Linked DNA regions of Elephas maximus indicus. The protein of the gene in region 3 interacts with the protein of the main gene of each other region in a biochemical or structural test. Links are inferred from orthologs where the notes say so. Each region holds a gene or a part of one and is shown on either strand. Other genes may lie near its edges. The genes, in order: SREBF2, PTPRJ, MAPK3 and PTPRR.

The links.
Region 1: of the proteins of MAPK3 (region 3) and SREBF2, one has a biochemical effect on the other in vitro, tested with the Homo sapiens proteins (2 studies listed by BioGRID). The link is inferred for Elephas maximus indicus from reciprocal best matches to the Homo sapiens genes MAPK3 and SREBF2.
Region 2: of the proteins of MAPK3 (region 3) and PTPRJ, one has a biochemical effect on the other in vitro, tested with the Homo sapiens proteins (2 studies listed by IntAct, with this or other methods). The link is inferred for Elephas maximus indicus from reciprocal best matches to the Homo sapiens genes MAPK3 and PTPRJ.
Region 4: the proteins of MAPK3 (region 3) and PTPRR form a complex in vitro, tested with the Homo sapiens proteins (2 studies listed by BioGRID). The link is inferred for Elephas maximus indicus from reciprocal best matches to the Homo sapiens genes MAPK3 and PTPRR.

Annotation. Positions count from the first base shown.
Region 1 is NC_064822.1:185,997,991-186,005,806, reverse strand, and holds the start of SREBF2 (sterol regulatory element-binding protein 2), read right to left. Parts: upstream 3,100-7,816; 5' UTR 2,943-3,099; coding exon 2,855-2,942; intron 1-2,854.
Region 2 is NC_064825.1:103,308,041-103,315,271, reverse strand, and holds the start of PTPRJ (receptor-type tyrosine-protein phosphatase eta), read right to left. Parts: upstream 3,095-7,231; 5' UTR 3,067-3,094; coding exon 2,644-3,066; intron 1-2,643. UniProt on the Homo sapiens protein: Tyrosine phosphatase which dephosphorylates or contributes to the dephosphorylation of CTNND1, FLT3, PDGFRB, MET, KDR, LYN, SRC, MAPK1, MAPK3, EGFR, TJP1, OCLN, PIK3R1 and PIK3R2. Plays a role in cell adhesion, migration, proliferation and differentiation.
Region 3 is NC_064830.1:89,119,009-89,125,987, forward strand, and holds the start of MAPK3 (mitogen-activated protein kinase 3), read left to right. Parts: upstream 1-3,854; coding exon 3,855-4,018; intron 4,019-5,098; coding exon 5,099-5,281; intron 5,282-6,979.
Region 4 is NC_064822.1:132,265,281-132,272,358, forward strand, and holds the start of PTPRR (receptor-type tyrosine-protein phosphatase R), read right to left. Parts: upstream 3,135-7,078; 5' UTR 3,130-3,134; coding exon 3,096-3,129; intron 1-3,095. UniProt on the Homo sapiens protein: Sequesters mitogen-activated protein kinases (MAPKs) such as MAPK1, MAPK3 and MAPK14 in the cytoplasm in an inactive form.

The DNA.
Region 1 (7,816 bases), on a different chromosome or scaffold from region 3:
ATCTCTTCCTGAGAGGCTTTCCATGACTACCTCCTCAGGTAGGCTACCCTAGTCACTATATTATGACCCCATTTTATTATCTTCATAGCACCCTGCTAAAACTCTTCATTTATTTTGTCTAGCCTGAGTTTTCTCCCTCGAGGATTCACCCTCTCTGAGAAAGAGACCCTGTCTGTCTTGTTCAAAGCTATCCTCAGCACTGTGCCTACCAGGGGGTACTCAGAAGCCACTCAAGAGATGTGCTGAGTGACTAGAATGCATGTGCCCCCAAAGGGCACCAATGGACTGGTGCAGGGCAGACTCTGCCCAGCGAAGGATTCCTGACCACCTGTGTGCCAGGAGGAAGTGAGCAGGCGCTGTCCAGGCTGCAAGTGCCTGTTGCCCTCCCATTCCCCCCACACACATATGAAGGAAGCACTTGTACTCACAGCCACAGGGGCTTTCCTCTTCTTCACCTGACTGACCATGGAAGCACCTGGGCTGGTGACCCTGGTCTATTCCAACTCCAAGGACTGTGTTTAGTACAACTTGGTATCCTGCCCAGCCCAAGGTCATTGTATTCAGTCAGCATTTCGCAAATTATCAGTGAGCACTCCGTGCCAGGCACTGTTCTAGGTGCAAGAAACACAGCGCTGTACAAAGTGAAGACCCCTGCCCTCATGAAGCTGTTGCTCTGGAGGGGGAAATGGTGGGTGAGTATTGAGAACTGCTTGTATCTGCAAACCACAGGCCTTCAGCTGGCCCAATCCTTCCTGTCCTTCAAAGCCTAAGTCAAGGACCACCTCCTCGGGGCAAGCTTGCTGGTAAGACAGTCTTTAGTGAACTCCCTCACTGCTGATGTTCACCTACTGCCCTGTACATCACATTATAAGCTATTCTGTACTCGGCACTACGGCTTTATTGTCACTGTCTCAAGCTCCACGAGGCCACAAAATTCTCTCCTGTCTCTCCTTTTCCCTACAGCTCAAGAACCACAGGCAGACCTGACTACTTGGTGACCAACTAAAAACAGGGAATCACTTCTCCCAAACCTGGTATGGATGGGGACCTGGGAAGCCAGTGAATCACTGTGGCAGTTTCCACAACGGACATTTTACTAAGAAATCTATGCGGATACAGCTACTTTACCAGAAGGTAATTGAACACGTTACAAATTAAGACAAATAAGAATTCCTTTGGATTAGGAATGCAAAAAGCACACGAACTTCCTTTTGCCTGCTTGCTGAGAGACAGCTTTGGACACATTTCTTACCGGTTGTGTAACCTTGGGCAAGTTAATGACCCACCAGGGCCTCAGTTTTAGGATCTGTGAGAAGGGAATGACAGTAGTGGAATGGCAGGCACTAACTGATAGGACTGTTGTGAAGATCAAGACGACCAATGTGTACGTTCGCTGAACACAGTGCCTGGCACAGAACTGCTCCAAACATGTTAGCTGTCCTTGTTATATTCCCAAAAACCCCCTCCCCCATTTGTTAACACATCTCTGTATTCAGGAGCACCTGCAGTTAAGACACCGGGCTTCAACGAAGGGTCTCACCACATGGCCCAGATGACTAAACACAGAAAGCAAGGGCAGGCCTAGGAGAGGTGCTGCGGAAGCAAAATGGGAAAGGCATCCTTTTCGGTTAGTCAGTCGCTGCCACTTTCTCTTCCCACAGAGAAGAATCTTCTGTTACCCGTTTCTTCCTGTACACAATCTGGACAGAACCATCATACTTGCCTTCAAGGCTGTCACGAGATCCTACCCGCCAAAGCACTTGGTAAGCTCAAGCGCACAGTGCACCTCAGAGTTACTGTCTAAAAGCCTGGGTCTGGGTTCTCTAAGGAGAGTGACCTTACACAGGTTAACCTCTCCTGGCCTCATATTGCTGCAGAATGGGGCAATAAAAACATCTCATAGGACTGTTGTGATCAATAAATGAAACAGAGTACTTTGGGTCTGAAACACCAGAAGGGCGCAACTACTGGGTTATTATTAAGACTCCTAACCTGTTCACTAGACTCCTCACCCCCAAGGGTCGGGGGGAAGCCTGATACAGTGAAACCAACACTGGTCGCGGAGCTGGGAGACCTGGGCTCTGGCTCCATAACGAGCTGAGAGACCTTGGGCAAGTCGCTGACCATCTCCAAACTCCAGTTCCCATGGCTACACGAAGAGAACATTGCAAGAGAAAATCCCTGGGCTTCTACCAGCCCTTCCACTCTGCTGTGAAGGCCTCCAGAACAAAGGGCACCCGCTACCGAGCCTGCCCACGAAGGGCCACAACCCAAAACTCCTGCTGGTCAACTCCCTTCGCAGGCACGGTCAGGTCTCCGTCCCGGAGAGATGCGTCCACGCTCGGACACCACTGCTCGCTTCATCAGCAACTTGCTTCTGCAGCCGCTGCCCAAAGTTTTCCCAGCGCCCGGCAACCCGGTGGGCCGTCACTCCCGGGAAGACCAGAAGTGGGGGCAGGCGCCGGGAGCCCTGCCCCGGAGATCCCAGGGCCTCCCCGCAGCCCGGCCGGGAGTGACAGGTGCGACGCAGGCCGGGACAGCAGGAGAGCGCGGAGCTCACGTGGGCGCGAGGGAGGCGGCGGCGCGCGCTCGCTCAGACCGCCCCCGCGCCCCCACGACTCACACCCTACTTCCGGACACGCGGCGCCGCGGACCCCACGGCCCCGGAGCAGAGCGGCGGCCGAGGCTCCAGCCCACAGCGCCCGGAAGACTGGGGACCGCCGGGCGAGCGCGCGGGGCTCTTCCCGCGCGAGCCGAACTGCCGCGGGGTGGGCGCACGCGCACCCGCGCGCGCCGCCGTAACCCCTTCCTCCCCGCGCGCCCCCGCACTCCCACCCACCCATCCACCGCTCACCGTCGATGTCCCCTAGGGTCAGTTCGTCGCCCAGCTCCGTGAGCGTCTCCATGGTCTCCAGCCCGCCCAGCTCGCCGCTCCCGTCCATCGCCCGGCTCGGCGCAGAGCCCACCTGCCGTCCCGCTCAGGAAGACGCAGGGGCGGTACCGCCGCCACCGCCCATGACACCCGAGATCCCCCGCCCGGTACCGCCTCACCGACCCGCGCCAGTCGCCGCCATGTTTGCGCTGCGCCCGGCGCCGCGCGGGAGGGGCGGGGCGGGATTCCCCCGCCCCCGCCCGCGCCCTCCGCGGCCCCGCCCCTAGGGCGCGCTCCCCCTTGTTTATTGTCAATGGGACCAGGCTGGCGGCGGCCAATCGGCGCTCGAAGCGGCGCGTGGGGTGATGGTGCGTCAACGATCAGCAGCTCTGATTTGCATACTTAGGCCCCGCCCCCCGCAGCCTTGTAGCCAATGAGAAGACAAGCCGGCCGATCCTCAGTCCAACCTCCCTCCCGGAGTTTAAAAGAACCGTTCCCTTTTCTGTGAGACGCGCTCCGCAAGCAACTCCCGCCACCTGACAGAGATTAAAGGGTTAACGCATAACCCTCTGCCTCCGCCTGCAGGACACCCCTGCTGGCCAGGAGCGCATTACGTCATCTTCCCAGCTGCCCACCCCGCCCCGACCGCCTAGAGAAGCGCGTAGAATCCAACCTGGCCGCCAACACTTGGAGACGAGGGGAACCTGGAGATCGTCCAGGTCACGTTCCTGCCAATCCCCTTACAAAGGCGGAAAAGAAGGCTCTGCGTGGGCAGCGAATTGCCTAAATGCAGTCGGCGTTTTATGGCTTTGCGCCTTGGCACCTGCCATGACCACGCACAGTACTTCGGAGCCCCTTGAAGACCTTAAAGCAACGCCGGTGCCCACTGGCCTCCCGAGGTGGCCCAGGCATGGTTATTTTGAAAAACTACTGCGGGGATTTTGACGCGCAGCCTTGGCGAAGACAACTACCCGTTGGCTTTGCCCACCCACGGTGTTCTCTAAGCATCTCAGGTTGCAGCTGGTCACCTTGTAAAAAATTTAAATGTGCAAACTTCTAGGAAAATTACCTTACTGCAGAACCAAGAACTGTAATTGTTGAGTATTTCTGCCTTGTTTTGTGTGAGACTTTATAAACGTATATATATATATGTATACATATATATAGCCTTGGTGGCCCAGTGGTTAAAGTGCTCTGCTGCTAATGGAAAGGTCATGGTTTGAACCCACCAATGGCTCCAAGGAAGAAAGATGTGGCAGTCTGCTTTCATAAAGATTACAGCATAGAAAACACTATGGGGCAGTTCTACTCTGTCCTGTAGGGTCCCTATGAGTTCGAGTACACTCTACAGCAATGGGATTTAGGTATACACGTAGCAAATATCTTTGTTTTCTTCCCTTCTTTTTATGATGGTTAAGATTGTGTGTCAACTTGGCTGGGCCATGATTCTCAGTGGTTTGGCAGTTATGTAATGATGTAGTTTGGCAATTATGTACTGATGTAATCATCCTTCATTGTATGATCTGATGTAGTCATTCCCCATCTTATGATCTGACAGGAGCAGCCCTGCAGTTGACAAGGAAGTGCATTGGGGGTGTAGGCTGCATCAAATACATATATGCATGTTCTGGTAAACCTTGCTGCCGTGCTCTGGATTTTGCATTTGACTCTTCATCCTCTGATCTCTGGTTCTTGGGAGGTGAGCCAGCAGCCTTCCACCTGACCTGCCAATTTTGGGTTCACCAGCCCCTGCAACCATGTAAGTCAGACGAAGCCTCCGCCTGACGTCTCACTCAAGGATTTGGGGCTTGGCAGCCTCCACAATTGAGTGAGCAATTTCCTTGCGATAAGTCTCTCTATATACGTGTATTTATATATATGTGCTTTGCTGGTTTTGCTTCTCTAGAGAACCAACTTAAGATGTGTAGAGAGTGGTTCTAGAGAAGCAAAATTTTAAGGATGAGTTTTCTAAATTGGTTCTCAAATCTGTCTAATATTAAAGGCACTGATGACTCTGCTGTTGGGAGTAAATGGGGCACTGCTAATCCATAAGGTGATGTGGAAATAAAATATGCAAAATGTCACCACCAATGGATCAACTATTTGTGAGACAAAGTTCTGGGTGATTGCATATTTGCTACTTTTCAAGCAATTTTGTCAGAATGAGAAGTATAAGGAAGCTGGTTGGTTGGTCCTACTTTCACAAGACAAAGTGGTGAAAAAAATGAGCTCAGGGCTTCAGAGTCACAGCTCAAGTACTGCACAAAACACATCAAACCTGCTACTTGTGCCATGAAAGAAAACCTTATTCCTTGTAGTAACACAACTGATACCGCCACAAACCAAACCCAAAGTCTTATCATAACAGTGGCTGAATCACAATGCCAATTGAATTCGCAACCTCAAGTAGTGTCTGAAGTTAAAGTGAGGGCATTGATTGGCAAGAAATGGAATCCCGAAACTTGAGATGGGGACATATGGGCAGATAATCCGGAAGCAGAGGACATCAAGCCCCTAAATTCAGTTGAATCACTCCTGTCACTATACCTGCTCTCTTGCTCCCATCTGAAGAGATTACTGCTTCTTTGACTGCTAAGGCACCTTCCCCAGTAAAACCATTATCCCCACCATCCCCATCTGATGAGATTAATCCAGCTGTGCCTTAAGAGTCTGTCTGAGATATTACCTAGGGTGGCACCTGGGGTGTTGCCTGGGAAAACACTTGAGGCAGATGCCTTATAAGACGCTGCTGAATGTCCCCAGGACCCACCCGCACCACCACATGTAACTAGACTTAAAGCACTGAAGGCATTGGTGAAAAGCAAGGCTCTAAGAATTGATGCAATACCAATTAAAATGTATTGACAAATGGATGCAATACTAGAAGCATTCACTCATCTATGCTAAGAAATTTGGAAGACAGTTACCTGGCCAACTGACTGGAAGAAATCCATATTCATGCCCATTCCAATGAAAGCTGATCTAACGGAATGCAGAAATTATTGAACAATATTAATATCACATGCAGGTAAAATTATGCTGAAGATCATTAAAAAATGTTTGCAGCAGTACATTATTGACTATGCAAAGGCATTCAACTGTGTGGATAATAACAAATTATGGATAACATTGTGAAGAGTGGGAATTCTAGAATACTTAGTTGTGCTCCTAAGGAACCTGTACATAGACCAAGAAGCAGTTGTTCGAACAGAACAAGGAGATACTGTGTGGTTTAAAAGCAAGAAATTGCCTCAGGGTTGTATTCTTTCACCATACTTATTCAGTCTGTATGGTGAGCAAATAATCCGAGAAGCTGGACTATATGAAGAAGAAAAGAGCCTCAGGATTGGAGGAAGACTCATTAACAACCTGTGATATGCAGATGACACAACCTGGATTGCTGAAAGTGAAGAGGACTTGAAACACTAATGAAGATCAAAGGCTACAGTCCTCAGTATGGATTACACATTAACATAAAGAAATAAAAAATCCTCACAACTGGAACAACAAGCAACATCATGATAAATGGAGAAAAGACTGAAGTTGTCAAGGATTTCATTTTACTTGGATCCATAATCAACACCCATGGAAGCAGCAGTCAAGAAATCAAACAATGTATTGTATTGGACAAATTTGTTGCAAAAGACCTCTTTAAAGTGTTAAAAAGCAAAGATGTTACCTTGAGGACTCAGGGACACCTGACCCAAGCCATAGTATTTTCAGTCATCTCATATGCATGTGAAATCTGGACAATGAATAAGGAAAACCAAAGAAGAATTGATGCCTTTTAATTATGGTGTTGGCAAAGAATATTGATGATACGATAGACTGCCAGAAGAAGGAACAAATCTGTTTTGGAAGAAGTACAACCAGACTGCTCCTTAGAAGCAAGCATAGTGAGACTTCATCTTACTTACTTTGAACATGTTATTAGAAGGGACCAGTCCCTGGAGAGGGACATCATCCTTGGTAAAGTAGGGGGTCAGGGAAGAAGAGGAAGACCCTTAATGAAATGGATTGATGAGTGGCTGCAACAATGGGCTCGAACATAGCAACGATCCTGACGATGGTACAGGACTGGGCAGTGTTGTGTTCTGTTGTGTATGGGGTTGCTATGAGTTGGAACTGACTCAATGGCACCTGACAACAAGTCCAAGCGAGCCCCAAGAGGTGAAGAAAGTGCGACCCAGGAGGAGGTATGCTACACTCCAAAAGAACTGCTTGATTTTTCTAATATATATAAACAGAAACCTGGGTAATATGTGTGGGAGTGGCTGTTAAGGATGTGGGATAATGGTGTGAGGGACATAAAGTTGGATCACTCATTGATGTGGGCCCACTAAGCACAGATTCTTCATTCAGTGTTTCAGCTTGAAAGGTTAGAAAAAGATCTGATAGTTTATTTGGTTGGTTCACTGAAGCATGGATTAAGCACTGGCCTATACTAAACCAAGTTGAAATGCCAGACCTGCCTTGGTATACTGTAGAAAAAGATATCCAAAGGCTTAGGGAAATAGGCATGTTAGAGTGGATTTATCAGGTTGGATCAACAGACCCACTCACGGAATGCCCAGAGGACACACCTTTCACCACAAGAGTGAGGAAAAAATTTGTGAAGGGAACCCCAGTATCCTTGAAGACTGCTGTGATTGCTATTTATGTAAGTCAGATTTGACAGTGGGAACTACCCTAACTGAACTAAGACAACTAACTACAATGGGGCTGACTGGACCTTGGGGTGGTAGGGGCCAAGTGATGGCACTCAGTGGACAAAGACAAGGTGTGTGTGATTACTGTAATAGAGGGCAGAGTCAAAGCTGTTTAGTCATGGTGTCCCTAGGAGTGAAATAGATGGAAAATCTACTAAATATTTTCTTGATGTATACAAGTGAAAGAATTCTAGGTCAAGTGAATGGCAGTCTAACCTGAATCACTGGACTAGAA
Region 2 (7,231 bases), on a different chromosome or scaffold from region 3:
AGAATATCTCAACTAGGATTCAATTTTAGGAAACTCAATTTACAGCTACAGCTCTGGGAAACACACAGTGAGGTAGCGCTATGTCCATGGTTAGAAGTAAGAGCAAAACGAAAACATGAGGTTTTCAAATACTGTAGCATCATGAAAATACCAGACATAGCCAGAAGACCCAGGTTCCGGTGCCAGCTCCTCTCTATTTCATGAGACAACCTCAGCCTGATCACTGTCTTCTCTGGACCGCAGTACCTTCATTTAAAGAAATGAGAGGTTTCAACTACCTTGAACGGTGAACTCAACAATGCTCTGATTCCCTGAAATAGCCAATTATCAAACAGAAGTACCAAACGTGAATTTGGAAGATGATTTTTCAGAAAGCCTTTTAGATTTCCTATTTTATAATATATCCAAAACTGAGAAATTCAAGAGACTCTTCTTGAGTTTCTAAAAAACAAACTCTAGAGGAAGGAACTATCTGAATATGGGACAAGTACAGAGTGGCAACATGTTAATGTAATACAAGGAAGGGTTAGGCAAGAAATAAATTTACCCAAGAAACTTTTTGCTGATTCAAAGCACACCAAGCAATCACCATGTCTGAGGGGAAAAAAGAAGAAGAAGAAAAATATATATATATACACACATATACATATGCATATACAGAAGCTCTGCTGGTACAGTGGTTAAGAGTTTGGCTGCTAACCAAAACGTCAGCAGTTCAAATCCACCAGGCACTCCTTGGAAACCCCATGGGGCAGTTCTAGTCTGTTCTATAGGGTCACTGCATCAGAATCCACTCAACGGCAACAGGAACAGGTACATATATGCATATATACATACACACACACACAAAATGAAAAATAAAGCTGAAATATTTCATTAATATAAACACTGGTATAAAAAAAATCTTCAACTGAGGCAATTTTCTCTCTTTTTTTTTAATCTCGCAGGCTAACCCGTTGCTGTCAAGTCGATTCCAACTCATAGCAAACCTACAGGACTGAGAAGAACTGCCACATAGAGTTTCCAAGGAGTAGCTGGTGGATTCATACTGCCGACCTTTTTGGTGAGAAGCTAAGCTCTTAACCACTGTGATGCCAGAATTTCCTCACAGGGACAGGGAGAAGACAGCCCATAACAGTTACCTTAATGATAATCCCATCTGGATATCCTTTCATATTTACAAAGTTCTTTCAGACATTTCACAGCGGAATCTCCTCAGACAACCCTATCAGACCAGTGGTATTACACCCATTCTACAGATGCTGTTAACCGAGGCTGGCAGGAGACTGAAAAGCAAGTCCAACTGTGATGCCTAGCCCTGGAGCTGACACTTCCTCCAGTATTCTCCACAGAAGATCCACTACCTTCCAGGCCCTCACGAGAGCACCTCAAAGCCTGCTAGGAAAACTAAGGAGACACAGGCCACCCAGAGTGACCCTTTGAGGGTTACCACAGTCCCCAGGCCCCAGCGCCCTTCTGGCCCTGCCTGCTAGGCTGCATTGCTCCCTCCATCGCTGATGTTTTTGTTCCCAGACAATCCTGTATTTGTGCTTGAAAAGTTTTCCCTGAAACCAGGTTCCATCCTCAGCCAGTAACTCACTTCCTGGGTTTCAAACATCATCTCCTTAGAGCTGGTATCTATAAAACAACGAGATTTTCATTAGCAAAATGGGCAACAGGGACATCAGGAGGCCAGTTTGCCTGAGGTATGAAACCCTCACAGGCTCCCCGAAGTCTGGGAGAACAAACCAGCTTGCTCAGCCCCTATGGCATCCGCAGGGCGCTGCCATTCTTTCACTTCTCTCCCTCAGTTCCCTATCTGTGAAATGGGAACACCCCCCACGCCCAGCTGTCCTGCCTCACCACCACCCCCATGGGAATGCCGTGAAGGGGAAACGATGCTTTCAGAAAGATTGTTCGCCAAAAAGCCACGCACAGCATTATCAGAAAACTCAAGCTAGAAAACAGAGGGGTGGGGAGACAGTTGGTGCCCCCAAAGCACGAAGTAACCACCCAGGGAAGGAAGCCCTACGGCGCGCCCGGCAAGAATGAACGCCTGCTAGTGGCCATCTCTTCCCGGGCTGGGAACTTTCCCCAGAAGCAACGTCTTCCTCCCGGAGGCCCCGCTCCTCTCCCGGCGCCCCCGGGCCGCCGCCGCCGCCGCCGCCCTTCGGCCCGGCCCCTCGGGCCCTGCAGGCCGGGTCGGAGGTCTGCGGCGGCCGGGCCTGGCCGGCCCCGCTTCGCGTCCCTAGCCCTGGACAAACACGCCCCCTCCGGCCGCCTCTGGCGGGCGCGCCGGGCCCGCGCCGGCCAGATGTGACCGGCTCCGGGAAGGGCCGGGCCACGGGCGGCCTGGAGGGGGCCGGGTTGGTGGCGCGCTAGCCCGCGCGGGGGTTTCCTCGGGGAGGCGACAGGCACCCCGCGACCCCGCGTTCCGCCGCCCCCCTACTGGAACTGGGCAGCAGGCAAAGGCGCTCGGTCGCCGGCGTGCAAGGCCGGCCAGGGTCCCCGCGAGCCCCAGCCAGGAGAGGGACGCCGAGGACCCGGGTCCCTCGCTACCGCCCCCTCCCCCGAGCCGGAGGGGCTCCCCGGGCAGGTGCAGGGACGCCAGCCCGCCCTCCCACCCCCGGCCCCGCAGCTCACCTGGCCCAGGCGCAGCAGCAGCAGCAGCGGCGGCAGCGCCCAGCGCAGCCCGGGCGAGCGCCGAGGGGGCCGCGCCGCCCGCGCCGCCGGCTTCATGCCCCGCGCGCCCTGCAACGTGCCCGGGCCGCGCGAGTCGGGCCCCGTGGTCGTCGCTGCGTCCAGCCGCCGCCTCCGCCTCCTCCTCCCCCAGCCCGTGCGCCTCGTCCCCGCTCCGCCCGCCCCGGGCTTCCCCGGGGACATGGCAGCGGCGGCGGCAGCGGCCACACGGCGGAGCGCGGCGCGGCAGCGGCGGCGGGGGGGCCGAGTCCCCGGGCGCTCAGGGGCTTCGCGGGGCGGAGCGAGCGGCGCCCACCTTCCGCGCGCGGCGGCTCGAGCCCGGCTCCCGCGGCCCCGGCTGCTCCAGCTGCCTCCTCGGCGCGTCATGCGGCTTAGGCTGCAGGGAGCCGCGGCCAGCGCTCGGCCCCCTCCCTCCCCCTCTGAATATTCATCGCTTCCTCCGCCCGGCGGCCTGGCCGTGCGGAGCCCGCGGCCCCTCGCCGCCCGCCCCCGCCCAGCGGGCCAGCGGCTCCCCTCGGCGGGCGGGCGGAGGAAGCGTCCCCGCCGCCCTGCCCGGCCCCTTCGCCTAGCCCTCCCACATTCCTGGGATTTGGGACCCGGGACGCGGCTCCTCTGCTCTTGGGGCACGAGCCCGCACCCCTGTAGGCGCCCCGAGCCTCGGCCCCGCTCCACGGCCCCCAGTTTGGGTCACCAGATGGTGACCGAGACCCCTGCCGAGGGCACAACTGGGCCCCCGTCCAGACGGCAAGCCGGCCAAGGGGTTCTCGACCTGGCCTGTGGGTGGGCTTGTGGGTGCGTGATCCCCGAAGTTGTAGGCAGCATGCTGTGTGTTGTGTCCTTCCTAGCCCTGTGCCCAGGCAAGGGAGGCAGTGACCGGCACTGGAGCAGGTCCAGTGATGTCAGGACCCCAGCTCTGGCATATGGGAAACCTGGCTCTGCTGGTAGTACTAGCTGTTTGGCCTTGGGAGGGGCATTTCAGCTCCCTGAGCCTTCCTTCCTTCATCTGTGAAATGAAGATAATACTAGTACCTGTCTAGAAGGACTTAGCTGAGGATTAAAAGAGATAATGGGTGTAAAGCCTGCCACATAGTGCACCTCAATAACCGTTAGCGATTGGGAGAGCATGCATCACGTTATCAAAGGGATCCATGGCCTAAAAGGGGTTAATGATTACTGGGAGAGATCGCTACCATGCCCTTGCACAAAGGAAGGAACTGAAGGTCTGGGAGGCCAAGTGACTTGCCCAAGGAGAAGGAATGAGAAAAAGAGCCAAACCAAGGAGTGGTGAGGAGGGAGAGGTTAATTCCAACCAGAGGGAGAGGTGACATCGGAGCTGGGCTGTGAAAGATGGGTTAGATTTCACCAGGCAGAGGAGAGCAGCATCTCAGGAAGTGGGAGCCACTTGCCAAACGCTAGAAGGTGAATGCTTCAGGCTGGGCCTTCTTGATAGGAAATTTGGGACCTTATATTTGGGAGACCTCTTTCAAGTGTTAAAAAAGCAAAGATGTCACTTTGAGGACTAGGACTAAGGTACACCTGACCCAAGCCATGGTATTTTCAGTTGCCTCATATGCGTGTGAAAGCTGGACAATAAGTAAGGAAGACCAAAGAAGAATTGCCTTTGAATTGTGGTGTTGGCGAAGAATATTGAATATACCATGGACTGTCAAAAGAACGAACAAATCTGTCTTGAAAGAAGTACAACCAGAATGCTCCTTAGAAGCAAGGATGGTGAAACTACGTCTTACATACTTTGCATATGTTATCAGGAGGGATCAGTCCCTGGAGAAGGACATCATATTTGGTAAAGTAGAAGGTCAGCATAAAAGAGGAAGACCCTCAACGAGATGGATTGTTACAGGGGCTACAACAGTGGGCTCAAGCATAACAACAATTGTGAGGATGGTGCAGGACCAGGCAGTGTTTCTTATGTACATAGGATCTGATGTACATAGGATCACTATTAGTCAGAAGTGACTCAAGGACACCTAACAACAACATAACATATTTGGGGGAGACTTTGAAGGCCAGAACAAGGAGTTTGGGCAGGACATTATGTACAAACCAAAACTCCAATTGTGGAGTCAATTCCGACCACGTGTTCAGAGTAGAAGTACGCTCCATAGGGTTTTCAAGGTCGAGAACTTTCAAAAGCAAATTGCCAGGCCTTTCTTCTGAAGCATCGAGCATTGGTGGGTGGGTTCAAACCGCCAACATTTAGGCTAACAGTCAAGCGCTTAATGTTTATATCACTCAGGGGTCCACCTGCATTCTTCGTGCACTAGTGTGGAAACCACCAGATGTCCAATACTGCCTCCAGGCATCCCTTTGGGCAACAGGTTCCCAGTCTACAAGATGGGAACTATATCTTTATTTAAAATGTCTTCAGGGCTCCCACCCCACTGCACACACAGACAAGCAAAGAAGGTAAGGGGACCTCACCTACTGACTTGCATATCTTGCCACCCTACACACTCTGCTGCTCCCAGCCTTCCCCCTCCATCTCAGGGCACAGACAGGTAGTTTGAAAGATGTTGCTGTCCATGATGCCTGGTGAGAAGACATGGGTGGCTTGCCTCAGGTGCTCCCAGATCTGTGGGGTGTCCCAGGTCCTCGCAGACTCAGCTGATCCTAGAGGCCCACCCAGGCCTCTGCAGCTTCGTGGTTTTGGTCTGCAAACGACTCTGTGAACTCCTGCGTGCCTGTCGGTTTTCTCCTGGATGAAACACGTGCCCGCACAAAGTGGTGGTTGGAACCAACTTTCCCCGCTGCACAGTGATGAAACAGAATAAACAGTCTTTTCAGTAAAGGGAGTTAAGACCTGAATAAACTACCTGTGAAGTCATAAACAATCACACTGGATTAATGAACTATATGAGGAATGAAGTTAATCCCAAGTAGGTGTGGTGTAAACTCCCTGAGGGCAAGGGTTGGGCCTGCCTCATCTTATTGCCCTGTAACACCTCACTCAGTGCCTTCCTCAGAGCAGGAACTCAAATATCTGTGCAGATGCATGGCTGTGTAGGAGCCCTGGTGGTGCAATGGTTAAGCTCTCAGCTGCTAACCAAGCAGTTTGAACCCACCAGCCACTCTGTCAGAGAAAGATGTGGCAGTTTGCTTCCATAAAGATTACAGGCTTGGAAATCCTATGAGGCAGTTCTACTCTATCCTGTAGGGTCAATGTAGGTCAGAACCAACTCAACGGCAGTGGGTTTGGTTTGGGTTTGATATGGCTGTGTAAGTGCACCCGGAGCACCATGAGTAAATGTTCATTTTTCCACAAGCATAAATTAGGAGAGGAGCATTCACTTCACAAAAGGAATAGGGACTAGATCCCAGTGTGTAGGTCTCTTCCCTAGATGTCACTGCCCCAGAACTTCTTCCCAGATGACCCAGCCGGAGTTGGATGTACTCTGCCCACTCCGCCATGTGCCCAGGGCTCCCTTTGCTCAACCTTATCAACAGTGTTGTAATTGCCTGTTTACTTGTCCATCTTCCTAATGGAAGCCCCTTGAAAATGGGGCCTGCACCCTGTTTATCGTTGTATCCGTAGCACGTAACAGGCACTCAAATGATACTTATTTAATTAAATTGAATGCATTCCTTTGAACAGCAAACTAGGGTATTAGATTTATGCCTATTTTCTCTCTCTCTTTCTATCTCTCTCTCTCTCACACACACACACACACACACACACACACACACACACACACCAAATTCCATTCATAAGCAGCTTTTTAGGAATGCATCTACCATGCAAAGCTCAGGACACATTCTCCTTAATAATGCCCAATGATGTTTGACCTTTTCATCATGTCCACCTTCAAGCCAAGGCTAAAGCTTCACTGAATACGGAGCCAGATCCATAAAGGACCAAAGGGCCATACCAAGAGTTCAGAGTGGAGGGCTCCTGGGTTCTTTCCAAATTGCCTGATAGGAATCACTGGGGCTTATTATAAAACAGATTCTCATGCTTGCCTTAGACTGTAGACGGTGCAGCCTGGGAACCTGTGTTTTAAGAAGCACATCAGGTAATTCTTGCTGGATTCAGAAGCACTGTTTATCCTGTGACTGGCCTGATCATGCCCCTAATAATGATAAGTTCCATTTATCAAGTGTTTACTAATTGGAGCACTGGTGACCCAGTGGTTAAGCATTCAGCTGGTAGTCAAGAGGTCAGCAATTCAAATCCACCAGCTGCTTCTTGGAAACCATACGGGGCAGTTCTTCCCTGTCCTATAGGATCGCTAAGAGTCAGAATCGACTTGACGGCAATGGGTTTGGTTTGGTATTGTCAGGCACTAGTCTAGGTACTTCATATCCATTCTTTCTATTCCTGACAAGCACCTTGTAGAATAGGTAAAAAAAAAAAAAAAAAAAAAAAAGAATAGGTATCATTGTGAATATTTTACAGTCACTGAATTGTAATGCGATGATTGTTGAAATGGTAAATGTTTTATTACCTGTGCATTTACTACAATTAAAAAATCTTAGAACAAAAAAAAATTTTTTTTAATTTTTTACAAACAAG
Region 3 (6,979 bases):
CTAAAACTATTTAAACTGAAAAGTTAAAAAGTAGAAATATGATAATATGAAATTACAGTCTGACCAGTTGTAGAGGGGATGGCTTTGGCAATAAAATGAGAAGAAATTGGTTGGATGCGGAGAGAAATGGTAAAATGAAAAACGACAAGGTTTGATCCTGAGAGAATGGTGGTAATACTAAAGCTAATAGAGTCTGGAAGAGAAACAGGTTTGGAAATAAAGAGGATGACTTTCATTGGACATGCTGAATATTTGTATCAGCTAGCCTCCAGGTAAAGCTGTGCAGCAAACACTGGAAATCTGGCACCAGGATGAAGGAGAAAGGCAATGGCTAAGGGTAGAGATTTTACATAAAGCAAAAAGTTGATGCCATAGGAGTGTGATGTGACTAAGGGGGATGGTGAAGAGAAAAAAGGCTGGTGAGAAGAGGAGCCCAGGGAAGGATGCCAGTAGGGACTGGCAGAGGTGGCGACAAAGATTTCAGAGAAAGGATTAGGTGAAGAAGGCCTATTCCTGAGGAGAGATGTTTGGCCATAGATATTCTCCAATATTTGAAGAGGTGTCATCAGAAAACTACAGCAGAGGTTTTTTAGATTAAGAAAAAAAAGTGTTGTTGTCATTAAGTGCCATCCAGTCGGTTCCAACTCATAGCCACCCTATGTACAAAAGAACGAAACACTGCCCCTGTCCTGCACCATCCTCACAATCCTTGTTATGCTTGAGCCCATTGTTGCAGCTACTGTGGCAGTCCATCTCATTGAGGGGCCTTCCTCTTTTTCACTGACCCTCCACTTTACCAAGCATGATGTCCTTCTCCAGGGACTAGTCCCTCCTGACAACATGTCCACAACATGTGAGACAAAGTCTCACCATCCTTGCTTCTTTCTGCTTTCATTCTGGCTGTACTCCTTCCAAGACAGACTTGTTCGTTCTTTTAGCAGTCCATGCTATACTCAATACTCTCCGCTAACACCAAAATTCGAAGGCGTCAATTCTTCTTCACCCTTCCCTTAAAAAATGGTCAGTACTTAAATCTTGACAAATTTGTAAATGCCCTCTGACCTCTATTTCTGCGTACTTGCTACCTTCTCGGTTAGTGATGATTAGTGGAGTTAGTTGAAATGGGAAGGTTCATTTGTGCTCTGAAAAAACAAGGTTCCAGTCCTTGAAATCACAAAAAGTTAAGAACTGGGTTTAAGATTTAATCTGGGTAAATACAGAGGACAGAGATAACCAACTAGAAGCTGCTAAAAAACTCAAACAAAGCAGTGAGCTGGGTGGGACATAATGAACTACCTGGAGAGGAAAATGATTCCTGGGGTCCCTTCCAACTCTACAATTCAATAAGCCTCTGTTTTTCTCTTCTCTTAAAAGGAAATAATAGTATTGACTTCATACGGCTTCTGTAAGGATTACAGGAGCTAATGTATATAAAAGTGCCTGGCACAGAATAGATGCTCAGTTTCTATCAGTTGAATGTGAATCAGTTCAATGGACTAAGAAATCCCAGTCCAACCGTCCGAGGAAATACCAACCACAGCCACTAGAGGGCAATCTCGGTCACTCTCTTCAATGAGACAAGTGCAGCCTGAGGTTGCAGGCGGCCTCACCGGATACACCAGCCTTTCCTATGCCGGGAAACACTCCCACTCAGGAAACCTGGCTTAGTGCTGAACTCCACGGTGTTTTCTCTGAGTCACTATATTCTCCTGCAGTTGCAAAATGATCTGGCAAAAATCCCTCAAAGGCTCTTACTGCTCACTGAGTAACATCCAAACTCCTTGCCAGAACCCAAGACCTTCCCTCACTCGATCTGGCCGCACCCAGCCAGCCTAAACTCCCCTTACTGCTTTAAACCCCAGTCACACTGGACAAGGCATGCTCCCGACCCTGTGCCTTGGCTCAGGCTGCTCCTCCTCCTTGACACCTTTCCTCTAGCCAAAAAAAAAAAATAGCCAGGCATGCTGAAATGCCACTGTTTTTCCAATGGCTCAATGCCACCTCCTCCATTATCCCTCCCTCACTTTCCCAGAAAGAGTGATCTCTCCCACCCCTGAGCTCACACTAGATGTTACATCCATTTATCTTGTATCCAACTGACTTATGTGTATACATTTTATCTCTTCAGTAGATAATAAACTCCAGGAACAGAGAGGCCAGTAGGTAATTTGTCCAGGGTAACACAGCAAGTGAGTGGCAAAAATGGGATTCTAACCTGGGCAATTCGGCTCCAGAGAACTCCTGCTCTTAACCACTAATTCATACTACAATCTTTCACCAGCTGCAGTGCCTAGCTCAGAGCTTTGCACACAGTGACGTTGAATAGTTTATCAGATGAATAGCTGAAAAAACTTTGATCTAATTTGCACCTCTTGAACCGTCATTGAGTTATGGGGTGTCGGGAATCAGCAACTCATCCATCAGAGTTGGAGTGCCTGGCCGTGGGTCTAATGATGAGCAATTTCAGAATTCTAATTACGATTCCGTTTTGCCTTTTGGTCTGGAACACATACAAGGATCTAAAAACATCCTTACTTACTGAAGCCTAGGAGATGTCTCCTTTTGTGAAGCTTCCAACGTATATTTTCAGTGTGAAATGAGGGAGGTGGACTGGATGCTCTGAGGGTCTTTTCTTCAGTTCTAACAGTCTGACTCTGAGGGACTAAGTACGGGATCAGAAAAAGCTTCTGCCTCCATATCAGGAGACATCATTTTGAGTCTCAGAGCTGTCATCACCGTGAGGTGACTGTTTACCCAAGTCAGTTAATCCTAGTCTCAGCTTCCCCATCTGTAAAACGTCATCTATTCAGTGCCAGGCACGGGGAGGGGGGGATGATACAGTAATGGACAGACATGGCCTCTGCTCATTCAGCTAAGAAAATCGGATGACACTTATATTTTAGGGTTGTCCTAAACTGAAATGATCCAAGCATTCTGTAAACTGCAGTGTCTGGTACAGGTTCACGATGCTCATCTTGCCAGGGTTCCCATTTTGCCAAATCCAATGGCAACAAAAACGTTTCCAATTTTGCGGTTTTGGGGAAAATCCAGATAGTGTTATCTTAATCAAACCCAGTCACCTCTGCATGCGGCCTTCTTGCCTCTCTCCTGCCTCCCAAGTAAAAGTTGGCTGGGGCTATCTGTGCTCCGGGCACTAATCAAGCAGCAGACCGCCACTGCTGCAGTTGCTGGCAGAGGAGAGGTACCCACAGCCCACTTCCACAGGCTCTGTCGACAAGCCAGACGCTGGGAATCTGGACCCCTGGGTTCACCAGCTCTCACTTGAGCTGAAAGGCTCCAGGTCACCAGGCCCCTCTGGAGGCAAGCCACATCTGTGATGAAGCCATCTTGCAGGGCTACTGTGAAATACCGAGGCTTATCAGGGGCGAGCCTGGCCAAACGACAAGGGGCCGGCGAGGGTTCCATCTCGAACCCCTGGGCGCGCCTCGGCCGCAGCCCTTCCTTCGGGAAGTCAGCGACACGTCCCGGCTGCACCACACACCCGCTGGACGGCTTCGGGACAAGTTCACCGGCCAGCCGTACTGGGCTCGTCTCTCCCCGGGGGGGGCGGTCCGGACCAGCCCTAAGACCGCCCCGTGGAGCCCGCGGGCGCCGAGGACCACAACGCCCGCAGGAGACAATCTGGGCGCGCTCAGGAGCGGACCACGTGACGCCCGCGGCCCAGCCTCGAGCTGCGCGGGAGCCAGGGGGCGGGGCGCCAGGGGCGGGGCGGGGCGCCAGGGGCGGGGCGGGGGCGGGACCCGGCGCGCGCCGCTCCGCGGTGACAGGGCGGGCGGGAAGGGGCGGGGCCTCGGGCGCAGCCGCCGGGGGGAGGTGGGAGGGGAGGAGTGGAGATGGCGACGGCGGCGACTGAGGGGGGCGGGGAGCCCCGGGGAGCTGATGGGGTCTGCCTGGGGGTCCCGGGGGAAGTGGAGGTAGTAAAGGGGCAGCCGTTCGACGTGGGCCCTCGCTACTCGCAGCTACAGTACATCGGCGAGGGCGCGTACGGCATGGTCAGGTGAGGGGGCGTCCCAGGGGAGGGGGCTGTTTAAGCGATCGGGGTGATTTAAGGGGAGGGGGCTCCGAGAGTGGGGGAGGAGAGGGGAAGGGGTGCTGAGTACTTCCTGAGATGTGGAGACTCGAGCGTCCCGAAGAGGCAGGGGACTGAGGAGGCTCGGGGAGCGTCCCGGGGAGGGGACCTTTGAGTGCCTTCTGGGGGAGGGGGCGCTGCGTGCGTTCCAGTGGGAGGGGGCTTGGAGGCCTTGAATGGATCATTCCATACTGAAGGGAGGGGCTTCTGAGTGTATCGAGGGGACCTGTGGGGACCTTGGGAGGAACGGGTGGAGACCCGGGGCCGAAGAGGTTAAGTGTTCTTGGGGAGGTAGTATCCTAAGGGGGAGTAAAGGACCTTCTTTGGAGAGAGGATGCCTGGGATTCTCCCACTGAGACTGTGCCAAAACAGTTTGGGAGAGAAGAGTAGCGCTTAGGGCTGGGCAGGGTGGGGCAGGGCTTTGGGCTGGGGGCCAGAGGCCCAGTGAGGGATGAGGGCCAGGAGTGCCTCCCTGCATCCTTTGGGAGGGGTCTGTGAACTCTCCCAGCCTCACCGGCTGCTCTGGGCTTCTGTTCCTGCGGGAACAGCTCTACTGCCCAGGTACTTCACCCTGACACCAACCCCTGCCTTGTCCCTTCTTTCCAGCCCTTCCTATGGCCCCCTCCGTCTCACTGTATTTGCCTCACTGTATGTCCTCTATTCATCTCCATCCCTGGACCTGTCTGGGGTTCAGGGCGCACACCCTGTGGGAAGAGGAAGATGAAGGTTCAGGGCAACTAGAATGAAAGGGGGGTGAGAATAGGGGATGTCAGCGAGCGGTCAGCCTCTTCCTCCGTTTGTGAAGTCACCAAAGGGCTGCCTGGCTGGTCCCCTGCCTTCTCCCTAGAGATCCCAGGCCTCCCCAGCAGGAAGGAACCATCATTGTTTATGGCTTGACCAGAGCCCTCTCCTGCTCCCTTCCCTCCCTGCCAAGGCCTGGGTGGGGCTACCAGTCCTGGACTCCCCCTTTATAAGGCCACACCATCAACATCTCTCTGGCCCTCTCAGCTCAGCTTATGACCACGTGCGCAAGATTCGTGTGGCCATCAAGAAGATCAGCCCCTTTGAGCATCAGACCTACTGCCAGCGCACGCTGCGGGAGATCCAGATCTTGCTACGCTTCCGCCATGAGAATGTCATTGGCATCCGAGACATTCTGCGGGCACCCACCCTGGAAGCAATGCGGGACGTGTATCCTTCACCTCTGCCGGATGGCTGGCCAGGCGTGGCCTTGGAGCTGGGCTGGGGACAGCATTGGCATTCTTTCTGCTTCCTTCTTCCCTACCACCTTCCAGAACAAACCCAGTAAAAGAAACTTTCTGGCCCGAGAGGCCACACACAGAGTGTTAAAGGATTGGGGCCTTCATTGAATCCTGGCCTGCTGCAGCCAGGCCATGTAGCCTTGGGCTAGTCCCTTTTCTGCCCTGTGCCTCAGTAGGGGGCTGGGTGAGATAGTCTCTATGGGAGCTTTGTCTTCTGACATCTGCAGTTCTGTGACATGATCCAGCCTCTGCCCACAGTTGGTTCTTGCTTAACAGACTGATTCTTTGCTCTCTAGACCCCAGACTGGAACGAAGGCAGGAAGGAAGAAAACTGCCTTTCCTTGAGGGCCTACTATGTGTAGAGAGCTGTGCCTGCCAAGTGCTTTGATGGTTCTTATTCTCCCTCCCAACTGCCCTAAGAGATGGGCCTTGTGAGCTCTATTTCAAAGATGAGGAAAAGGAGACTCAGAAAGTCCAAAATCAAGTGCTTCTGTTGCTGCCTCTTCCCCTTTCCCAAATAAGAACTTGTCTTTTCTCTGGGATTTCCCTCTCAGAACCCCACCCAAGTCACCTCTGAACTTGAACCTTGCCCAGGGAGGGACAGCCTAACTTTTGTTGGCCTCCTCTGATATTGCTTTCCTGGTTTGTTGTCCACTTCCTGCCTGGCTCGATGGCTTCTGTTTTCAGCAGCTTATGATACCATCACCCCTTCTCCCATCCCAGACCGCCACCCAAAGTAAATAAAAACCAAACCTGTTGCCATCGAGTTGATTCCAACTCAGCAACCTTGTAGAATAGGATAGAGCTGCCCCGTAGGGTTTCCAAAGAGTGGCTGGTGAATTCAAACTGCCAGTGTTTTGGTTAGCAGCCATAGCTCGCTGTAGCTCTTAACCACTGCATCACCAGGGCCCCAGCCTCCACCCAAGAGTGGGGATTTGCCCTGTAGAGTCTGCAGCCTCCACCACAGACTGGACAGGGAATCTCTGTGCTTACCCTGACTTGCTGTGTGACCTTAAGCCAGTCACTGCCTCTTGCTGGGTCTCCCCATCTCTAAAGCAGCAGGGTTGGTCCACATGTCCTCAGAAGGCCCTTTTGAGGCTGATTCTAAAAGATATTCAGTACTTATTCCTCCAGAGACAAGCCAAATGGCATTTATTTATATTTAATATTTGTTTTATCTTAAAATGTAAATGTACATTTATTCCTCAATCTTCTGATTTTTGGCCAACGACTCTTCTTTGAGTAGGAGTGTGCTGTTGGGAGTATCTCCTCATTTTTCTTGCGCAAACCATTCCCATCAGGCAGGAATTTAAAAATAAGCAAATATTTATTGCATGCCAGATGGTGTTCATGCATTATCTCATTTAACCCTCTCAACAGCCATGTGGCACGGACATTTATAATAGTTGATGTTTGCTGATTACTTACTATGTGTCAAACACTGGGCTGACTGTTTTACATGGGTTTTGTCATCCTGTCCTCACAACCACCCTCTAAAGAATAGTTATTTCCTTCATTTGCAGATGGGGAAATAGAGGCACAGACAGGTCAGAAAGCCAGTGAGTAGTAGAGTAGGGATTTCAGACTTTGGTATGTTAACTCCTACGCTGGTGCTCTGAACTGTGAA
Region 4 (7,078 bases), on a different chromosome or scaffold from region 3:
GTTGCCTTCTTGGATATTCCCCAAGTGGTCTTTTCCATTGGAGTTTACGTATTACACTGGTTCCCAGAAAGATTAAAAAGTGGAGATTTGGGACCACAAACTCAGTGGCGGCTTCACCTACCAGAACCAGTGTGTAATTTTCAACAGTATGCTATCACAGGTCTGGACACTTGGATTTTCATCCTGGCTATGCTATTAATAGACTCTTCATTATTCTGGATCTTAGTTTTCTGATCTGTAAAAAGGGTGATAAATAACTAAGTTTTTGTTTTTAAATAAGGAGATTGATGAAAATCATCTGCCATGGATAGAAGCTAAGTCTAGCTTCTCTAATATGTGCCATAGTCAGCAATTCTTCAGGGTTACCTTACCCGGAGATGTCAATTACATCTCCCAAACATTGCAAATAGATCACAGTATTTTCCCTGTTGAGTTAGAACTCAGGGTCAGATTTTTTTTTTTCTTTTTGTACAATGTCTCAGGAAACCATGACCAAGTAATTGGAGCTGGCACTCAAGTTGAAAATAATTTGCTACCTTATGATTAGAGGCATGGCTATGTTGAAGGCAACACTCCTACTACCACTAAGAGGAGCACTCACATCCCGTTAGTCAATTTTTCCCATTTCTAAAGCTTTCTAACATGTCATCAGTTCCACCAGCATAAAGCAATTGTTGGTTCCCTGGGCATAACCAAAATGGATCAATTAGCTTTCCAGTTAAAGACGCCTAAGTATATAGGACTCATTTCCCTTCTTTATAAAGCCTGTTTCTGTCCTGAGAGAAAAGCCTTCTGTAAAAGAAACAAATTCAGACATTCAACAAGTAGAGAAATCAGTTACATGACTTCTTGATCTTTATCCTACCACCCACTAATTTTCTTATTGGCCAAATATACAGGAGGTTAGATCAAGGAATCTGTGTTTGTTTCATTTCTGATGTAAAGCTCTAAAAATGTTATTAGATAGCTGTGATGAATTTTAATCGGATGACAGCTTGTGACCCACAAATTTCAGTGTAAAATTAAAATGCATCCAAAATGAAACTGGCAAGAGAACCACGATATTAAACTTGCAGTCTGCTGTGATAAAACACCTATCTAAAGCACTATATTAAATATGAATACAATTAATTTCTACACAGCATCTGGCAACTGAAATCTGAAAAAGATAACTCTTCAATATATTGCCTTATTAAATTCAATTCACTAGAATAATCTTTTTTTTTTTTTTTTGCAAATTAAAAAGTCAAAGTAGAGATAGATTGGCTTGGCTTTGATAATACACCCTTTGGCAGAGTTCCAGGTATAATCTAGGGTTCCAGACTTCTAGGTTTCTCCTTTGAACAAAAGTCCTCTATTTTCCTTATCCCAAATATTCATCTACAATAATTTAGAAATGTTTACCACATGGGTTTTTTTTTTTAAGTTTAGTTACTATTTTTTGAACTATAATTACTCAAGATACATTAAGTGTGATCTTCAAGGTAGAATACTTTTTAAGGTTGTTTATATATTAGCTTTGAACAATACTCTAGTATTTTTGCTAGATTGGTTAAATTATTTCTAAACTTGAAGCTTTTTTTTTTTTTGGAGGAGGTAATAGATATCTGTATTGGTGCTATCATTAGGCAATCATGTAAACAAAACTCAATGTCTGTATTTTTATCCCATATTTCAACATTAAAGAAGTGTATGTGGTAATAAAAGGATTCACTGTAGCTGTTTGCGAGTAATTTAATGACCAAGTCATAGCTATTTCCTGGTTTTCAAAAGGTGCCAAAGAATGATAGAAAATCCCATAATATAACATCATAATTATAACAATTAACATGTGTACTTAATTACAGCCTTAATTCTCCTATACATTACTTGCTCAAAAGATTCACAATACATTAAAATAGCACTAGCTAGAATTGTTTTTAGCTAGAATTGAGAAAGTACCATATTATACTCCTATTATTGCACACATAGGGAAAAAAATAACTCATTTAAAGAAAATGCCACAATAACTAATTAAATGGCTGTTATTTTTATCCATTGACCCTGGAACATAGAACACACTCAATAAGTCTTAATTGAAGGAATGAATAAATATGTATGATTGGATGATAAGCAAAGTCAGGGAAAATACCTAGTCTTTGGTTGCTACAGGACTACTGCATAGAAGACTGCTGTCGCAGTAGGGTCCCTAAAACCTCTCTGCCATATTCTATTTTGGTTCATGTATGTATAAAAATGATAAAGGATTCAGTCGAGCAAGTCTTTGCATTACATAGAGGCACTATGTATCCAAAAAATCAAGGTCTGTAGTGACATCGCATATGAAATTTCCCATGCACTTCCTAAGCTTTGCTTCTATATAAAACCTGACATTGGTTTTGGTATCAAATCTGTTCATATTTAGAAGCAGTCTCACTGTCACTTCTGGCTAGACCTCATCAAATCTGTCCCAGGGTTGTCAGCTTGGAAACTGTGATTGGGTTTTTGCCAGTGGACTCTGCCCATGGTGCTGAAACAGAAGAGAGGGTACAATTTGAAACCTTTTCTCCCTCTTACTGGTTTACAAAATTCGATTGACAAGAGCAGGGGCCAAAGGAGCCTGGGTTAACAGCATTTGGTGTGAACCACGTATTTCGATCTTTTGGGAGGAGATGTGGTCCATCTGGTTACAGCCAATGCATCCCTGTGAGCGCTCACTAAACCAAGAGAGCATGTAGATACAGCCGCTGCAGTAAAAAAAAAAAAAAAGGTTGCATCCAGCAGGATGTCTTGTCCCTCTCCTGAAAGAGTGGAAGTCAAGAGCATAACCTAGAAACAGGGGCAGGGAGTCTAGATGGAAGAGAAGAGGAGCAAATCTGTACAAAGGCTGAAAATATTCGAGATGTACGGAAAGATTAATAGCTGATTTTAAGTTCAAGTTTTCTGCCTCAGTCTTCCAACAGGTGCATGGCTCCCTCACCCCTTCCCTGCCAGGTAGTGTCCTGCGTTGCCTTTCTAGGGCTTTCTTTGCAAGGCAAGCTCTTCCTAGAGTCCTTAAGCATTGGCAGTTTCCCATTTCATCCACAGCTCCAGCTCTATGCCCTGCAACTCCTTACCTGCAGCATGAAGACTAAGAAGCAGGCACAGCATGGGGAAGCCGACTGCTCTCCGCATAGTGTTTGCATTGAGAGGTGGAGAAGAAACTCCTCCACGACCCCACTTCAGGCAAAGTGAGATTAGATAGAGCCACCGCGAAGGGTCCTCTGGTCTCCGGGAATTAGCTCACGGGTCCTCGGCTGGGTTTGCAGAGCTGGTCTGTGGCGCGGACTGAGACAAGCACCAGCTTCACCTCCCTAAGAACCGGGGAGAGGAAGAAGAGTAGGAGGAAGCTGGCTGGGGGTGGTGGTGGTGGTGGTTGTGGTGGGGAGATGGGTGCTGTGCCGCTCAGAGGTCCTAATGCTTGGCCTCCTGGAAGCCCTGCAGCTGCGGAGGAGCGGGAGGGGTGGACTCGGGTCGCGTTCCCGCGCCAGCTCTGGAGCCGGGTGGCGCGGCCGCCGGAGCAGCGAGAGAGGCAGCCCGGCCTCGCCGCGACTACTGAGCATGCCCAGCACCAGCCCTCACGCGGCACGGGAGTTTCAAAGTGAAAATCCACTTCTCCGGGTCTTAGTGGCGGCTGCGAGGGGAGCAGGCACCACCCCAGGGGGCTGCTTGGGGCTGTTATTAGTCTTGAAATCTGTCAAAAACCCTTGTGCGGGGGGCGGGGGCGGAATGGGGTGGGGCGGGGGGACAAGATGGGGAAACGACCAGAGGAACCAAAGAGAGAACCAAAGAAAGTGTCAGCCACACCGACCTACCCTATCCCTTCACCAATTCTTGGTTTACAAGTGGACGAAGCTCAGTGCTGGGAGTTTGGTGGGCCTCAGATTGACCAGCTTCTCAGCACTAGCCTACGGGAATATAGATTGCTTATCGGGTGGCTTGGCCTGCTGAGCATCCTAAGCTGCCTGGAGAGGCCCCCCAAACAGCCTACCCCTCGTAAGCAGTGAAGGTGCAGACTGGGGGTGTCTTCTTCCTAGCAGATTTCCCCTCTTTGTTTCTCTTTCCCCTCCTTCCAGCTCAGTCTGTATTTAAACTTTCTCTTGACTCAAGTCAAAAATTTATGGCCAAAACGACAGAAAGAAGTGAGCCCGTACTTTTAGACTAGCGGAATACATCCATGAAGCAAAGCAAGATGCCTTTTATCTGTGAAGATAATTACCTTTAGTTTCCATTTTATTCTGTAAGGTAAAAGGCAATAGGATCACCTCCCATAACAGGGCTTCTCTGATCCAGCTTTGTGTTTCAAGGGAGGCTATTACAGTCTGTCTAACGTAGGTTGCCCTCTTTTTGTATTTTCCATCTTACTGCTAAGTCTTTGGTGTGTGGAGATCCCTATTAATCTAGTTTAGTGGCCAATTACTCCCAGAGTCAAGAAGTCCTACAGTTAGACTTCTTTAACTATTCAAGGAACACTGACCTTTCTGCTTCTGCGTCTTTACTGGTACTCTTGCCTCCGCTCTAATTGCCTCCACTTGCACTACCACTACACTCAAGCTTACAAGAGTCTAACCTTAGTCTCACTGTGTCCAGAAAGCCCTGGGCCAACTTCAAATTACAGTGATGTTTCTCTTCCACCTATGAATGCATACACATTTGGTTAGCATTGCCTGTTATTTTCCTTTCACATAGCTCATGCATCTGTGGTTTGTCTTACAGCACAGTTGAAGGCTCCATAAAGAACTTCTGCATCTTTGTATCACTTAAATTCAATAAAATTGTTCTAGGGAAATAATAGATACCAACAAGTACTCTTTGAATTGAACTGCATATCTAATTGAATGCTTTCTTCCTCTATCCTCTGTAAATTGGGACAAGTGATGGGAAATATGCTACTCACCAGAGCTTAAATTAGGCAGGATCTCATAGGACCTGAAAGCTCAAACAGCATCATTTTTCTTTTATAATTTATTTCATCCCCGGCACTGAAAGGCAGGCCAGGAATTGTACCCCAACAGGCGGGAGAAGGGGAGATGTAGCTTTAAAAATTGAAAGGTCGTCTATGCCAAAAATAGAGAAATGTGTAGCCTCACTCTTTGTACTCTTCTATTTCCCAGGGTTTGCTGGCAGGCACTATTTCTGTGGCACAACCATTTCTTCCAAACCCAAGGAAGCTGTAACCTCTTCTCTTACTCCAGATTCTTTTTTCTCTATCTCCTTTTTTTTTTTTTTTTTGAATAGCATACATCACTTTCTAGCATACCAAAATAATTACTCATTAATCTATTGTTTGTTGTTTATATCCCTCCCCCCAGCTATGAAATATGACCTCCATAAAGACAGAGACTTTGGACAATTTTATTCACTTATGTCTCCCAACTGCTTAGAACAGTGCCTTACATGAAATAGGTGCTCAAAGAATGAATAAGTTGAAAGCAATTGGTTGATAAACAAAGCTAAGTAGTGACAATCAGCTTGGCTCTTTGGAATTCTTACTAAATAGACCTTTGAGATAATTTATGTAGCTGTGCTTAAAGCTAGGAGGTTGTACAATGGGTAAGTGCTAGGATACTGACTGAAAGGTTGGTGGGTAAACTCATTCAGTGGCTCTGCAGGAGAAAGACCTGACGACCTGCTTTCTTAACGATTACATCCAAGAAAACCCTATGGGGCAGTCACATGGCATCGCTATGAGATAGAATCAACTCCACGACACTCAACGACAACAACAAAGCTTAGAGGCCATCATTCATCTGTCAGTTTGTTGTACTGTGGTGACCTGTGTGTTACTGTGATGCTGGAAGCTATGCCAATGGGTATTTCAAATACTAGCAGGGTCACTTATGGTGGACAGGCTTCAGCAAAGCTTTCAGAGTAGGACTATGGAAAGAGAGCTGGTGATATACTTCTCAAAATTAGCCAATGAAAACCTTATGGATCATAACAGAATACTGTTTGATATAGTGCTGGAACTTCTGGGTTGGAAGGCATTCAGAATACACAATGGCTGCAACAATGGACTTGAGCATACCCATGATTATGAAAATGGCACAGGACAGGGCAATGTTTCATTCTGTTGTCCATGGGGTCACCACAAGTTAAACCCAACTCAACAGCAACTAACAATAAGAAGAAGGAGTAACCCTTCTCATCTAATATATGGTACTGGAGAGGCTGTAGGGTTTAGTGTGGGGGGGATATAACTGCTGTAGGGTTTAGTGTGGGGGTTTAGTGTGGATTTCCTGTATTTTCTCCTTCCCTAAAAGAGCTAATTTCCAGACTTACATAGGTCTCTCCAAGAAGAAAATGCCTCATACTAGTGAAACACTAGCTGCAGTGAGGCCCTAGACCCCTTATTTTCCCACACAATAATTCCAACAATTATTCCAGGAGGAGTGGGACATTTATAGTTTCAATTAATATAATTGGCTGTGCCTTTGCCCACAAGACTTCTGCTAGCTATTTTGCCTAGGGGCTGAATTATTAAACTGTGCAAGAAAATACTCTTAGCTGAAAATTTTTCCAATTTCTAATTTGACCAGGTATACTACTAGGATAGTTCAGCATGGTAAAAATAACCTCATAGGAGCTATATTTTTGGTGACTGGACATTAATGATTAATTTACTTGATAGAGAAAAGAAGGCAAGAAAAATTCATATTCTTTGGTGAGTCGATCTAATATAACACCTCTAATGGTTTTGATCCCATGATGTGTGAAATTGAACAGCAATAAAATAAAACCTCTGAATTCTTAGAAATAGTCTCTGTTAATCTATAGGTACTACTTTTCCTTGACTCTGTGATCTAATGCTAGTGAAGGCGATGTGGTGTGTTAGAGAAGTTAGGTTAACACACTGCACCTGGGGTTTAGAGAAGCTAGTTCCAGTTCAAAGACACACGAAAATTATTAGAATGAGAGAAGCATGCAAATTAGTGCCGGCCTATAAAGCTGTTTCCTAAAGGAAATCATTTACATTTTAAAAGACGAATGGAAAGCTAGTATCCTATGGACTTTTCCTTCCCAGCAAACACCTAATCTCTTATGAGGTAAGGTTCAGGAA